Linked DNA regions of Callithrix jacchus. The protein of the gene in region 1 binds, or shares a complex with, the protein of each later gene. Links are inferred from orthologs where the notes say so. Each region holds a gene or a part of one and is shown in the gene's direction. Other genes may lie near its edges. The genes, in order: PPP4R4, PPP4R1 and PPP4C.

The links.
Region 2: PPP4R4 (region 1) and PPP4R1 share a complex: the UniProt entries of both Homo sapiens proteins name them as parts of the PP4 complex. The link is inferred for Callithrix jacchus from reciprocal best matches to the Homo sapiens genes PPP4R4 and PPP4R1.
Region 3: PPP4R4 (region 1) and PPP4C share a complex: the UniProt entries of both Homo sapiens proteins name them as parts of the PP4 complex. The link is inferred for Callithrix jacchus from reciprocal best matches to the Homo sapiens genes PPP4R4 and PPP4C.

The regions. Positions count from the first base shown.
Region 1 is NC_133509.1:128,995,258-129,000,251, forward strand, and holds the start of PPP4R4 (serine/threonine-protein phosphatase 4 regulatory subunit 4), read left to right. Parts: upstream 1-2,030; 5' UTR 2,031-2,206; coding exon 2,207-2,323; intron 2,324-3,782; coding exon 3,783-3,856; intron 3,857-4,994. UniProt on the Homo sapiens protein: Putative regulatory subunit of serine/threonine-protein phosphatase 4.
Region 2 is NC_133514.1:53,315,335-53,320,050, forward strand, and holds the start of PPP4R1 (serine/threonine-protein phosphatase 4 regulatory subunit 1), read left to right. Parts: upstream 1-1,397; 5' UTR 1,398-1,427; coding exon 1,428-1,590; intron 1,591-2,031; exon of another isoform or gene 2,032-2,110; coding exon of another isoform or gene 2,111-2,117; intron 2,118-2,322; coding exon 2,323-2,367; intron 2,368-4,716. UniProt on the Homo sapiens protein: Regulatory subunit of serine/threonine-protein phosphatase 4. May play a role in regulation of cell division in renal glomeruli. The PPP4C-PPP4R1 PP4 complex may play a role in dephosphorylation and regulation of HDAC3.
Region 3 is NC_133513.1:29,442,636-29,447,637, reverse strand, and holds the start of PPP4C (serine/threonine-protein phosphatase 4 catalytic subunit), read left to right. Parts: upstream 1-1,673; 5' UTR 1,674-1,758; intron 1,759-1,983; 5' UTR 1,984-2,047; coding exon 2,048-2,145; intron 2,146-5,002. UniProt on the Homo sapiens protein: Protein phosphatase that is involved in many processes such as microtubule organization at centrosomes, maturation of spliceosomal snRNPs, apoptosis, DNA repair, tumor necrosis factor (TNF)-alpha signaling, activation of c-Jun N-terminal kinase MAPK8, regulation of histone acetylation, DNA damage checkpoint signaling, NF-kappa-B activation and cell migration.

The DNA.
Region 1 (4,994 bases):
CATGTGGAGGGGAAAAGATGGATGGTTTGGTGGGTGCTTCTGGGAAAACTGGCTCACTAAATGGAGTTAATAATAATACTATATTCCTGCTCACACTGTACGCAAGGTGAACCTCAGATGGTTAAGAGCTGTGATAGGTAAAAGTATGAAGCCAAATAGGGGAAAATGTAGGAGAATATTTTGCGACTAATAGGTGGGAAAAGATTCCTAAACAAGATCAAAAAGCACACTCCACAAGGCTAAAATTTGATGCATTAGGCTAAAGGAAAGCTAAGGATTTCTCCTCAATGGTAACATAGCGAAAACCAAGCTAACAGGATGCATGAAAGGTTGAGAGAAATATTTGCAATATTTGTCTAAAGCTGACAAAAGATTAGTATTTAGAACATACAAGAAACTCAACTCCTCCAATTCCTTTATAAAAAATAAAATTCAGCAGAAAAATAGGTAAAGGATGTAAATAGATAATCACAGAAGGAAAACAATCCAAATGGTTCTTAAGTATATGGAAAAATATAGTGCATGACACCACCAATAAAATAAATACAAATCGAAATTACAATGTGATGCTACTTTACTGATTTTAGATTGACATCAATTAGGACATCAGATAATACCAAATGTTATCATATAAAATGGGAAACGGGTATCTTCCCACCTTCATGTGCCATTGGTGTGGGTGTCAATGCAAAGCCATCTGGAGGGAAACATGACAGAGTGAAGCCAAGCGCTGTGGACCTCATGACCCAGCGACTCGATTTCTTATGTTCTGTAAGGGACACGTCTAACAACCATTTCAACGTGGTCTGTGTAGCAAGGAACTGCTGGCGACCTCACTGTCCGTTATTGAGGAAATGGTTAGTAGAATATGTTAGACACAGAAATCAAATATTATTATTGGTCATAATTAATGAACTCGTTGTATAGTGTCACATGAATAGATCTTCTAAGAGAAAAAACAAGGAACAGAATGAGTTCTCATCACAACGCCATTCATGTATGTTAAAAACAGACACAAACCATGTATCTTTTGAGGCTGTATACAGTGCATGAACTGGGACATACCTTAATTCAGAAGAGGGCGCATATGGTGGGAAGAAGAAAGGTGTGGAGGAACAAGTGGAAAATAAAAACAAAAAAGGGGCCTTGCTGACTGACGAGCCGAAGGGTACCAACATAACTTGTTCCCCAGGTCCAAAACAATCGCCCCAATCCCCCTTCCATCGCTTCCCATTGTTAACAGAACTAAGTGCAAGGGACTCAACGTGGCTGTCCAGAGCAGGGCTTTCCCCCACCGAGGACCTAGGTCCTCTTCCTCTTCCACCCACCTCGCCAAGCCCTGGATGCCTGAGCCCGGAGCTCTACTTTGACGGCACTTCTCAAACCCAACCAAACACACCCAGGCTTCAACCCCAGACGGGCTTGCTCTAATTATTTCTCTTAGGAAAGCCTTATCGGTCTCTAAGATTCAGTTTAAATGACTCTTCTCCAGGAGGCCTTTTCCGATTGCTGCCCTTGCCCAAAAGCTAGTCACCCCCCGTCTGCCGGGCACCTCACGTCCTAATTGCTTATTTGCGGCACTCAGCCCTCCTCCAGGGTTGGAGCTGTGCCGGGGGCGGTCTCTGGGTCCGCTGCCCCGCCAGCTAGGGTGGGCGGTCTGGGAATAACTGGACAGTTAAGTCAGTAGGTGCAGCCGCAGCCCCGCCAGCTTCCTCTCCTCGGCTTCCGCTCTCATTGGCTCAGCCTCCCCGCCCCCAGCCCGCCTCTGCCGGCTGCGGGAGGCAAAAGGCTCTGCGCACGCGCCGCGGGGTGGGGCGCCCTCAGTTGCGGGCGGACGGGGGGTTAAGGAGGGCGGCGGGGAGCGGGCGCAGAGGGGTGGCGGAGCTGCCGCGTAGCTGCTCGGCAGTTGCGTCCGGCCGCGTGTGCGCGGCGCCCGGGAGGGGGCGGGGCCGAGGCGGGCAAGGTGGCGGGCACCCGCCCCTGGCCCCGCCCCCGCAGCGCGCCCGCGCGCCTTGCCCCGCCCCCTCGCCGGGCCCGCCCCGCCCCCTCGCCGGGCTGCGCTCGTGCTCCAGCCACCCGCCAGCCTCACGTTCTGCTCCGGCGGCCGAAAGCGGGAGAAAGTCCTGCTGGTGGGCGGCCGCTGGGCTGAGCGCGTCCGGCATCCCGGGGCCGCTCCGGCCCTGGTGGCGAAGGTGCCCGGCGGTCCATGCATCCGCCGCCGCCGGCCGCCGCGATGGATTTCAGTCAGAACTGCCTGTTCGGCTACATGGAGGACCTGCAGGAGCTCACCATCATCGAGAGGCCGGTCCGCCGGAGCCTCAAGGTGCGCCCCGGGGAGAAGACCTGCCCTCAGGGCGTCCGGCCGCCTGCCTCGCGCGGCCCCGCGCCGGCCTTCGCCCCACCCCGCCACCCTCCCCTTCTCCGGGCGGCCGGGACCCTCTCAGTCAGACCGGCCCCTCTGTCCTCCTCCAGCCCCTGTCGCCCTAAGCCAGCTCCTCCCGGACCCTTCCTCAGAGCGGACTCGGTCCTCTCAGTCTGGACCCCCATCCCCAAGAGACGGGTCCCTGTAGCAGCCCTGACCGGGCGCCAGCCCCGCGGCCCTTGCCCCTCCTGAGGCGTCCGAATCCCCCCGTCCCACCCCCAGGAACGGCCGAGCCCCAGCCCTCGGGGCAGCCCCAGCGTCCTCAGTCGCGGGCCCCCTTCCTTCCTTCCGCCCCCCCCGCGGGAGCTGCCTCTCGAGGCCGCAGCCCACTTCTCCCCGGTCCTCTCCTGGGCTCCCCGACCCCTGGTCCGCTGACGACGCCCGGGTTCTGGCCCCAGGCCCACCCCTTGGTCCACACCGCTCCTACTCCTCCCCCCACCTCTCCCGGAGACACCACCCGTGTCCCATCCCCTCACCCTTAGCCCACCGAGTCAGATCAAGCTCCGGTCCCCTTGCCCTCGAGGCAGCCCGGCCTCCCCTCGCCTCCCAGCTAGCACCCTTTCTCAGTGTCGTCCTGGTTCCGGTCTTCAAAGCCCTCGCGATCCTCTGCCGCCATCCTGAGTCACCGCGCATCCTTTCCTCCCAGCCCCTCCAGGACTCTAGCTGGGACCCTGCTCCCCAACCCCCTTGAGGGAGTCAACCTTCACCTTGTTCCCCCCGCCCCCACTGGCTTCCCCACCCCGCAGAGTCATCTTCCTCCGGGAGGTTCCTGCCCTTAGCGCAGGCAAACCTAATTTACGGACCCCTTTTCTGACCATCGCTTAATAGCTGCTTTAGCTGGTCTAATTCCCACCTGCCGCAATCTCAAATCTCTGTTTTTCTTCCAGCCCCAGAGTTTATTTTCCTCCCTCCCCCACTCCAGATCTTGTCCTTTTCATGCCCACTCGTCTGCAGTCTTCATCCATCCCCCCTTTTAGCATTTCGTGGGTTGGAAACTGCTGGAGAAATAGCCTTGAGGTATTAGAGATAAAAAGTGTGTGTATTTATTAGTTTTATAACATGCGTATGAAATGGATTTCAGCCAAGGTTCTGAAGCCACGATGCGATTCTCAAGCTGCAGTCTAGAAGCTAGAAGAAGAAAAACAGAAAAAAACAATCCCCTCCCCAAACTCGCCCACCCAATTAGAGACCTCCGTGATTGATGTTGCCTGGTATCCTCAGCTCCTTGATTACTTTTCATTGTTAATGCTTAATTGTGAAACTTTTTCATTCTTTTATCCTCATAGAGGTTCACTGGGAGGTTGGGGGGCAAGACTGACCCAATGTTTGTGGTGCATAATGTGTATTTTACCCTTGACAGACACCAGAAGAAATAGAAAGATTGACAGTTGATGAAGACCTCAGTGACATTGAAAGGGCTGTTTATCTGCTCAGGTATTTCCTAATCATTCTGTAAAATTGCTCTTTTTTTTCCCCCTGTGGCAGCATCGATGAATGCTTTCTGAAATGTATGTTCCCGTTATGTTCAGATTTACTTAGCCACTTCAACAAAGTACTTTTGTGTGCATAGTACTTAACTGTATTATAAATTATATTTGGCTGTGGACTTACGAATTTGAGAACCCAAATAAAATACGTAATTTATAGAATGTTGCTTGGAGGAGGAAGAACAGATGGTTTGAGTTGAACCTCATCTTTTTTTGTTCTTTTCTGGCATTGGTTCTTCTCATGTAAGATTCAGTAAGTTTAGATGAGACTTGAGTACACAGTGATTAGTTTTAAGTTCATTGTAGAGTATGAACATTATATGGGATCTACTATATGGAAAAAAATCCACAAATGTGATAGTTACTTTTGCTGTTCAGGATGTCCTATTTGTATTACTTTTGCTATGCAAGCTTTATTATTTTGTCTGAGGGGTTTTAGAAACTTAGTTGGGCCTACTGTCGTTTAAATTTCAAACCATCTCACAGGCTCTACAGAATTGCTTAAGGCAAATGGTTACTGCAAATATTTACAAGATTTTTCTGAACTATTTAAAACATTGCCTTGTAGACTGAGCATCTTAAAAACTAATACAGTGAACATTAATGATGTTTAACGAATTGATGAAAATCCTTTAGAAACAGAAATTTCCTACAGCATTTTGTGCATATTTACGTAAAAATTTTTCATTAGTTTACACGACATTTTTTTCCCTTTTGGCAAATTAGTCTTCACTTTCTCTTTTTTTCAGAATCAGATTTTGAAAGCTGATGTTATTTACCTCCTAGGGTATTTGTTGTCTTGTTTCTTTAGCTCAGCGCCAGTTTCAGGTACTGGCAAGTCTCTTGTTCTCCTTTCTTGTTTATAGATCGTGTTTCCAGTCCCGTGTTATTCACTGAATGATCCTTTGAAAAAAAAATCCCTCTCCAGGTCTTCAATTTTCTTAATTACTTTTTTAGCCTACTAAAAGTGGCATCATGAGTTTCTGTTCTAACTTTAGTCAGAATATCAGCATATTTACCAGGTAGACCATTTCCTCTGATAATTGTATCATTTAGAAATGTTTCTGCATCTTAGACTTTATGTT
Region 2 (4,716 bases), on another chromosome or scaffold:
TGTGTTGTTGCAGTGAGATCACCAGTTAGTATAAAGGGCTGATTTGGGCCACATTTGGTGGCTTACACCTGTAATCCTGGCGCTTTGGGAGACCAAGGCTGGAGGATTGCTCGAGACCAGGAGTTCAAGACCTGCCTGGGCAAAATAGTAGAATCACGTCCCTACAAAAATTTTTTTAAAAATTTAAAAAATTAGCCAGGTGGAATGGTCTGCGCTTTTAGTTCCATTTACTTGGGAGGCTGAGATTGCAGGATCTTTCAAGCCCAGGGCTTCCAGGTTACAGTGAGTCATGACTGTGCCACTGCATTCCAGCCTGGGCTACAAGGCAAAATTCTGCCTCTAAAAAAATTTTTTTTAATGAAAAAAAAAGAGCTGATTTGACTCTTTCTTCTCCCATTTACCCAGAATTGCTAAAGTGGTAGATACTGATGAGGTAGCTCAGCAGGACAGAACTCTCAGGGGTTGAGTCAATCTAGAGACGGATTTCTGTTGATAGTTGTGAATTTCTAACTCCTTTGTCATTCTGAGAGTGTCAGCTAAATTCACAGGACATTCAGCAAAGGAGGAAGATAAATGGCTTTTAGTTTTAATTATTTTATAGTTGAGAAAATTAGATACACACTTCGAGTTATTGGGTCTGATTTTTATTACACCTAGAAATTTCATACAGACTATATAAACTGTCTTTCTCTCTTGTTAGTAGTATCTGATAGGGATTTTTTTTTGGACTAGCTATGTGTAGAACCCATATTATTATACCGATTTAGGAATCTTAGAGGATCTGATTCTTAATGTCCGAATCTTCAATGGCATTAAATGCCAATACATTGTCCTTGGTCAAGACTACAAGGCAAAAAGGAACAAGCTAATTAACTATTTAGAATTCCCTCTTCTAAGAGACCATACGGCCAAAGTGGCATCATGACACAGCTTGGTGTTTTGTTGGTCACTTTAGGAGACCACCATTTTGGAGGCCTTGGGTAGAGCTGGAGACAGAGCCATGGAGGTAGAATCGTGTCGGAAAACCTGGGTTTAGCCCCACTTTGTACTTGGGCGCTTGAGCTAATCGCTTAAGTCATGCAAAACAACAAGACTAATAAAGTCTGGGATACAGACTTGAACACCTCAAGTGCTGCCAAAAGTATTTAAAAGACAAAAGCGAATCATAGGCGCCTTTCCCCAAGCACCTCCTAGACCTTAAGAACCGTGCTAGGTTCCCTACATTCTTCGTTTAATGCCAATAACCCCACGAGGCAGATATCAGCTTCATTCTCCACATGGGTCCCAGTCCCATTAACTAACTGGCTGAATCAGGATCTGATTCAGGTGGATTACCCTCCATGTCAGCTCGGGTTAGCAGGACGTGGGAGTAAAAACCCGGCGCCCCAGCCTTCAGCGTGCTGCACGAGGAAGCTTGCTGGGCAGGCATGACTTTGTCACTCAACCACCCCGCAGCCGGACCCTGGGCTTTGTTAGCAGCCACTTGGCGAGGGCTCCGGGCGGTTGGGGAGGCGGCGCTTCCTCCAAACGGAGGTGGGACCCCGGCCCCGCCGACCTCGGAGCCGCCCCCGGCCCCGGATCGCCGACGACGTACGTGCAGGCCTGGGGATGGGGCGCGGGCGGCCAGCGGCGCGCCCGCCGAGAAGGCTGCGGCCAGCGGGGCGGTGGGCGAGGCCGGTGACCCAATAAAGCGGCCAGGCAGCGGGAGGCCCCACCCGGCCGGGTTCCGGCACTCGCCGCAGGGTCCCGGCCGGCTGCAGCTTGTGCGCCCCTGTCCGCAGCGCTCGGAGTGAGGGCGGCTCGGGCCGAGGGTGTGAGGGCGCGCCGCCCGGCCGGGAGCTGGGAAAGCGGGAGGCGGGAGCACCGGCCACCCGGGAGCCACGCGGAGGGGCCGGCGGGGCGAGGCGCGGCCTGGGGACCCGGCGTCCCCGAGCCGCACCGCCCGCTGCAGGCCCGGGCCCTTGGCCCGCCCCGCGCGCGCGCGCCCCCGCCAGCCCGGCCCTCCTCCTCCCCGCCGCCCCTCCCGCGCGCGTCCACCGGTTACCCGGCTCGCGCCGCTCCATGTAGCCCCGGATCCCCGGGCGGCCGCGGAGGAGGGGGCGACCACAAGATGGCGGGTACGTGGCCCCCTGTTCTCCGTGCGGCGGCGGCGGCTCCCCGCGCCCACCCGTCCTCCGCTGCTGCCCTGAGTGGCGGCCGGGCCGGGGCCGGCGCGGGGTCCTGGCGCGGGGAGGCGCCGCCGGGGCGGGAGGGAGGGCGGCGGGGGCGTCGCGCCGGGCCCCGGGGCGCTGACCGGGCCTTTCTTCTCTCCCCTTGGCGCAGACCTCTCGCTGCTCCAGGAGGACCTGCAGGAGGACGCGGACGGATGTGAGTGGCCCGGCCTCGCGGTGGCCCGGCAGCCCGCGGGGAGCGGTCGGGGAGGGCGGGCGGCGGCGCGGCCTGGGTAGACTAAGGGGACGCTGGGCGAGGGCGGCCCTGGGCGGGCCGGGGTGGCGATTTGGGGGGAAAATCGCGCGTCCGTGAGGAAACGGCGCGCCCTGGTTCCGCTGGGGGAGGGAGACGCCCCGAGTAACGCCCAAGTTAGCTTTCCGCCCTTCCTTCTCCTGGCGACCCCGAATCGCCCGTGGGCTCCGCAGTGGCTAGGCCGCCTGTTTCGGAAGGAGAAGCAGGTGGGGCAAGATTTGAAGTGGGGTTTGGGGTGTGTTTCTGCCCCTGGTGTTCCCCTTGCCCCGTCACTTTAGGAAGGAAGAGACTCGCGCGGGAGGTGTGTTTCCTTGGAGTCGCTCTCCAGGAGCTCCCGGGGGCAGCCTGGGTCCCGGCTAGCCGTCTGGGCTCCCCGACCCCGTTTTGGATCCTCTGAGGATGACATACCTGTCATTTTACTTTGGCTTGTGGCAGTTTTTAGATTACTCCCGGTTTGATTTGTGGATTACAGAAAGGTTAGAAGGTGTGGCCTCATCAGGAATTACTAGGTTTGGAGAGCACATTTCTTTAATGCAGATGTTCAGAAATCACCCAATCCTCCATCAGTGTTAACAGTGCAGCTTTCCTTTGAGGTACTGAAGTTTTTAGAGTTGACCCTTTTATTTTTTAAAACACAAAGTTTTTGACGTTGTTTCCTGATGGCGACGGAATTGATACTTAGAAAGGAATTTTTCTTCTTATATGTACTTTTCTAAGCCTCAGAAAATAACTTGAGTCACGACAGGAAAGACAAAGAATTAGGTAAATTTGTATTGAAAGAAGTGACAAATTGCAGTTAATTTAAAATAGTTTCTATTCATGCTAATCTTACAAAATAGTGATCCATCAAAAAAATCACTCGGTTTTGAGATGCGTTTTAAAAATGAAGAGTGGGCAAAATGTGTAAGCGTAGATCTTGAGATACATAAGGGACCAATTCTACTATGGTTACACAGTAGAATTGTGGTCTGTTTAGTGGAACGCCTACTGGATGCTGTGACTGTGTAATACCTGTGTAAGTAATTCAGAGATGGCTGCAGTTTGAAAGTACTCTCTTAAATACTCTGTAGTTAATCCTTAGCATTGTCTAATGTGGTTCCCTTACTCAGAGTAATCTCAATTTTTAGACTCCTGGTTGTTTTGAGTAAAGTAAGGGGGATTTGCTGTTTAGATGGATTATCTGAAATGAGTAATTTGTCTTTAAAGTAAATGAACCGCATCCAAACTTTTGCCAAGTCTGTATTTTTAGTAGGGTGGCTCTAAACAGCTTTCTTAAAGGGAGCAATACTCATGTAGTGAAGGGCAGCTTTAACATTTTGTTTAATGTTTACTCTTAGGCCACTTCTCTGCCTAATAGTAAGTTTCAGATATTATTTAAGGCAGCTATTGACTTCAGATCTCTTGCCGGGTTAGGATTGGAGAAGTGGCCTTGATTGTGTTATCTCGAGGAGGGCTTTTTATATTTATGTTCGACTTTGTAAATAGAAGATTCATTCATTCAGGAAGTATTTATGACTGTGTGGAGCAAACACTTTTTACTCCTGAAGGGTGAAATGCAGTGTCAGTTTCTTCCATGGCCCCCAAGAAGCACAGTGTAGAGGGGAAGGCATACCTGTGAAAAATTCAACCATGAGTTTAAAGACTCTGCCGGGTACTGGTGATGGAGCTGTAGAAGGATGGGCACAACCCATGCCCTCTAGTGGTTTACTAGCAATCTGAATCTAGGTGTACAGTACACTATCATAGTTATAGACTGGAGCCAGGCTGCTCTGTTCGTCTTAGCAGTGTCTTTTTGGGCAGACTGGGGCAACTCACTTAACCTCCCTAAGCCTCGGTTTTATCATTTGTAAACTGGCATAAGAAATATTACCTACTTCATAGAGTTTTTCATGGATGTATGTGAGTTAGTGCCTGTGAAGCACTTGGAACAATTCCTGGTAAACAGTGATGATTATGATTGTGCTTGCTCTTATGAGAAAAGAGCGAGGGAAGCTTAAAAGAAGAGCAGAGAAGGAAACACTGATGTTGAACCTTACAGAATGAAGGTACTTACAGATGCTGCCAATGCTTGCAACTTTTTTTTTTTTTTTTGAGGTGGAGTTTCGCTCTTCTTCCTTGGGCTGAAGTGCAATGGTGCAGTCTCAGATCACAGCAACCTTCGCCTCCTGGGTTCAAGCGATTCTCCTGCCTTAGCCTCCCTAATAGCTGGGGATTACAGGCATGTGTCACCATGCTGGGCTAATTTTGTATTTT
Region 3 (5,002 bases), on another chromosome or scaffold:
CATGGTGAAACCTCGTCTCTACTAAAAAGACAAAAATTAGCTGGGTGTGGTGGCAGATGCCTGTAATTCTAGCTACTCAGAAGGCTGAGGCAGGAGAATCACTTGAAGCCAGGAGGTGGAGGTTACAGTGGGCTGAAATCACGCCATTGCCCTCCAGCCTTGGGCAACAAGAGCAAGACTCCATCTTAAAAAATAAATAAATAGTAAAAACACAAAAATTAGCCGGGCATGGTGGCACATGCCTGTAATCCCAGCTACTCAGGAGGCTGAGGCAGGAGAATTGCTTGAACTTGGGAGGTGGAGATTGTAGTAAGTCGAGATTGTACCACTGCACTCCAGTCTGGGCAAAAGAGTGAGACTGTCTCGAAAAAAAAAAAAGAAAGAAAGAAAAAGCAACTAAGAAATGTTAAGGGGAACATTTTGGAATCACAGAAATCATGCTGACTGAGATACAGGCTTGGCATAGGAAAGGTGGACTCCAATTTGTTAACTTCTGAAGCTGTCAATGGCAAAGATTTCTCTGAAGGCACCGGAAGAGATTTGAATTGGGCTTCCTTCATCCATTGAACAAGTATTAAGTATTTCTATGTATTAACAAGTATTTCTAAATGCTTACCATGCCAGGCCTTATTCTAAGCACTGGGGCTTCAATATTGAAAAAGACAAAGTTGGATCCTCCAAGGATTGTGGTGTCGGATAAATAACAAAAATGTGTAACTTAAAAAAGTGTAACATAAAGTTACAAGGCCTAGTCCCAGCTCGACTTGTTTCCCTAGCTGAAATGGGGATGACCAGGCGTGGTGACTGAGGCCTGTAATCCAAGCACTTTGGGGGGCCGAAGAGGGAGGATCGCTTGAGCCCAGGAGTTCGAGATTGAAGTTAGCTATGATCGCCCCACTGGACTCCAGCCTGAGCAAGAGAGCAAGACACTATCTCTAATTTAGAAAAAAATAAAAGTTGTGGCCGGTCGCAGTGGTTCACGCGCCCATGAACCCAAAGTAATCCCAGCACTTTGGGAGGCCTAAGCGGAAGGATCACCTGAGGTCAAGAGGTTGAGACCAGCCTAACCAATGTGGAGAAACCCTGTCTCTACTAAAAATACAAAACTAGGCCGGGCATAGTGGCTCACGCCTGTAATCCAAGCACTTTGGAGGCCAAGGCGGGAGGATCACCTGAGGTCGGGAGTTCAGGACCAGCCTGACCAATATGGTGAAACCCCGTCTTAAAAAAAAAAAAGAAAACTAGCCAGGCGTGGTGGCACACATGCCTGTAATCCCAGCTACTCGGGAGGCTGAGGCAGGAGAATCGCTTGAACCCGGGAGGCGGAAGTTGCGGTGAACCTAGATCGCGCCATTGTACTCCAACCTGGGCAACAAGGGCCAAACTCCGTCTCAAAAAGAAAAAAGAAAGTTGTCTAAATTTAAACATTTTTATAAAATGAAATGGGAGGGGACTGGTCTAGGGTTTCTAACAGCCCAACATCACCTGCGGCTGAGCCCACAAACACTTCCGCTGGCCTCCAGCTGCCACCGGATTACTCCCGCTCCTTCCCGATTTCAGACTTGGGAAGTGGTGCCGGGGGCGCGAGGAGGGAGGGTGAGGAGCGTGTATGACGCCACATCCGGCGCGCGGCGGAACTGGCTTCCCTTTGCTTCCGCGGCGGGGCCGGAAGTAGAGGCGGCGGCGGCGGCGGCCCAAAGCGGAGGGAAGTCGGGAGGCAGGAAGCGCCCCATAGCCGGAACCGGAGTCGCAGCGGCGGTAATAATGCGAGACCCCTCTAGGCCACCGTCCTTAGCGCGAACCGTGGGATTCGACGGGAGTTAGTGGGGGTCCGGCCAGGCCGTGGGACGCTGGGGGGGTCCCGGGGCCGATGTGAAGGGAGGCGGGGGTGGGGGTGGGGCCGGGCTGGCCCTAGAATCCAGTTGTCCGCTCCTCGCCCCTCACGGACACTCTAATCCGCGGGCTTGTCTTGGCCTTTCCCAGGAGACCCCTGTGCGGTGCGGAGGGGGCGGTGGCCCCGACTCTGACCCGCGCCGGGGGGTGGGCCATGGCGGAGATCAGCGACCTGGACCGGCAGATCGAGCAGCTGCGTCGCTGCGAGCTCATCAAGGAGAGCGAAGTCAAGGCCCTGTGCGCTAAGGCCAGGTGAGCCCGTTGGCCCCACGGAAGGGAGGCCAAGCCGCCGCCCACGGGTTCTGGCCTGGGGCAAACCCAACTGAGAATTTTGGGCTTGCCCCTTCCTGGAAGCTTTCCCAGAGAGGAACGGGATGGGGCCACTGCGCTCGAGGAAGAGCTAGCCTGCTGGGGGAAGACAGCTGGATAAAGACACTTAAAGTATTAGAAGATGTGTTTCCAGTGGAGTAAGAGTGTTACGTAAAGTACTTAGGAAACCAAGGGAAACAAGCCCATCTGTCTGGGGGACAGAAGCTTCTGGGGGTGGGTGGCGAACTGTGAGACAGGCCTCGAATAAGGAGTTGGTAAAAGAGTCAGCAACAAAACAAAGGTTTAAGACAGGAAGGTTAAAGACGCTGTGATTTATAAAAGTCTGAATTCCAACAACCACCCATAAAGGTTGGCGTATTGTACTCATTTTACAGGTGAGGACTGTCATGTTCAAAGTTACCCACAAGTAAGGAGTGGAGTCTGAAGCCAGTTCTTAGTGTCCTGTCCTTTTTCAGGCCATAATGCAAGAAGGTGGATTTGGATCACTCACATTCAGGATGGGACCCTGAGAAATCGTAGCAAGTAAGCCAGGATAGAATTAAGCATGATATGGCCGGGCGTGGTGGCTCACGCCTATAATCCCAGCACTTTGGGAGGCCGAGGCAGGTGGATCACGAGGTCAAGAGATTGAGACCATCCTGGTCAACAAGATGAAACCCCGTCTCTACTAAAAATACAAACATTGGCTGGGCATGGTGGTGTGCACGCCTGTAGTCCCAGCTACTCGGGAGGCTGAGGCAGGAGAATTGCTTGAACCCAGGAGGCGGAGGTTGCAGTGAGCCGAGATCGTGCCATTGCACTCCAGTCTGGGTAACAACAGTGAAACTCCATCTCAAAAAAAAAAAAAAAAGAATTAAGCATGATAGGAAGGCCAGTTTAAAGTTCTGTGGGAAGTAGGATGACCTAAGGCTCTAGGTTTTGGAGTGTGAGATGGCTCTAGGTTTGAATCTGAACTCTGCCACTTACTAGTTGTGTTAGTGATCTTAAGGTGTCTTTACTTGCAAAGCAGAGTTAATAGTACTTAATAAGATGGTTGTGAAAATTCAGTGAGTTGCTGCTTAAGTTTAGCACAGTGTCTTGGTACAGCATACATGCTTGATAGTCACTAGGTGTTCTATTTCTCTTGGATGAGGGCAACGATGAGATGGGCTAAAGCCATCAGGGAAGGCTACTAAATAGAGGTAGACCTTGAAGGATGAAGATAATTTGGCTAGCTGACAGGCAGGACCAGTGAGGGAAGGGCATTCCAAGCAGGACAAGTGTAGCATTGGAGGCCCTGAGAGTGTGAGGAACAGTCAGGGGTTTAATTAATTACCTGCCTTCTCTGGGGAACTGTGTGATTGTGACTTCTACCAGGCTGGTGAATTGCGGCAGAAGAGCCCGCAGAATTACCCTATGTTTATTGAACTATACACCCACTATTGGCCTGGCCCTGTACTGGCGAAAAAACGTCTATTCGTCTCTTCCTCCCAGCAATCCTGAGAGGTTGGAATCATTTGCTCCATTTTACCGAATAGGAAACCATGACTCGTAGAGGCCTGGTGACTTGACTGAGGTCACCCACTGAGGACATGGCAGAGCTCAGTTCTGAATCTGTGGCCCCCAGGCTTTTTGCTCGGCCCCACCTCACAGACTCCCTGCAGCCAGACAGGGCCTCTGAGGGGATCGTGAGCAGGGTGGGCCTCTTTTTCACCCTGTCTGTGGCTTTTCTCTTTTGCCAGCTGAAGGAAACGTCCCTGACCAGACCTGCCCCACCGTGTTTTTAATTGTCCCCTCTCCCTCAGTCCTGATGGGCATTTTTAGGAACTTAAACCTGTTGTTGTCTGGCACTATTCTTTTCCTCTGAAGTCTTATCTCCTGCGCAGGCCTTGGATCAGTGTGGTGGCGATGGTAGATAATGCTTGGATAGCATGCTGGAGTTTGCAGAATAGGAGGAAGTTATATATTCAGTCTCCATGGCTCCTTGTAACAGCCTAAGGAGTAGGCATGACGGGGCTGAGTACTTAACCCCATTTCGTGGAAGAAGAAACAGCCTCTGAGTAGATAATGTCTTGTCCAACATCGTGCAGCTAGTTGGAGGGGAAGTTAGTTGTGCATGCAGGTTTTTGACTGTGCTCTGTGGTCACTGAGAGCCAGGCGGAGGCATTTAGATTTTCATATGGGGTGTGAGGCAGCAGAGAGCTGTGGAAGGCTAACGGGTGGAGAGTCCTGCCCAGTTGAAACTGAGTGGAGCTAGGAGGTACTAGGCCAAGGCCTGAGTTGGTCACTGTTGTCCTGGGCTCAGTTCTGAAGTGGGGCCAGCTCTGATACCTGACCAAGGCCTCCTGAGGACCCACCAGAGACCCAGGCTGAGGCAGGTAGTGTTAGGAGCACCTGCTTGCCCACAGGGCACAGACATGTAGATGAAACCCATGGAAGCACAGAGGCCTGCAGTGTCTGAGCTGAAGTTGCTGCTACTAGAAATATTAGTACAGTAGAAGAGCTGAGCTTTTGAATCAGGTGGTCTTCAGTATGGATCTGTGCCTTGTCACCTAGAAGCAGTATGACCCTGGTCAAGTCACTTTCTCATTTTTTGAAATGATAATGACAGCCAGGTGCCATGGCTCATGCCTGTAATCCTAGCATTTAGGAATGTCGAGGCAGGCAGATCACAAAGTCAGGAGATTGAGACCATCCTGGCTAACATGGTGAAACCTCGTCTCGACTAAAAATACAAAAAATTAGCAAGCGTGGTGGCACATGCCTCTAGTCTGAGCTATTCGGGAGGCTGAGGCAGGAG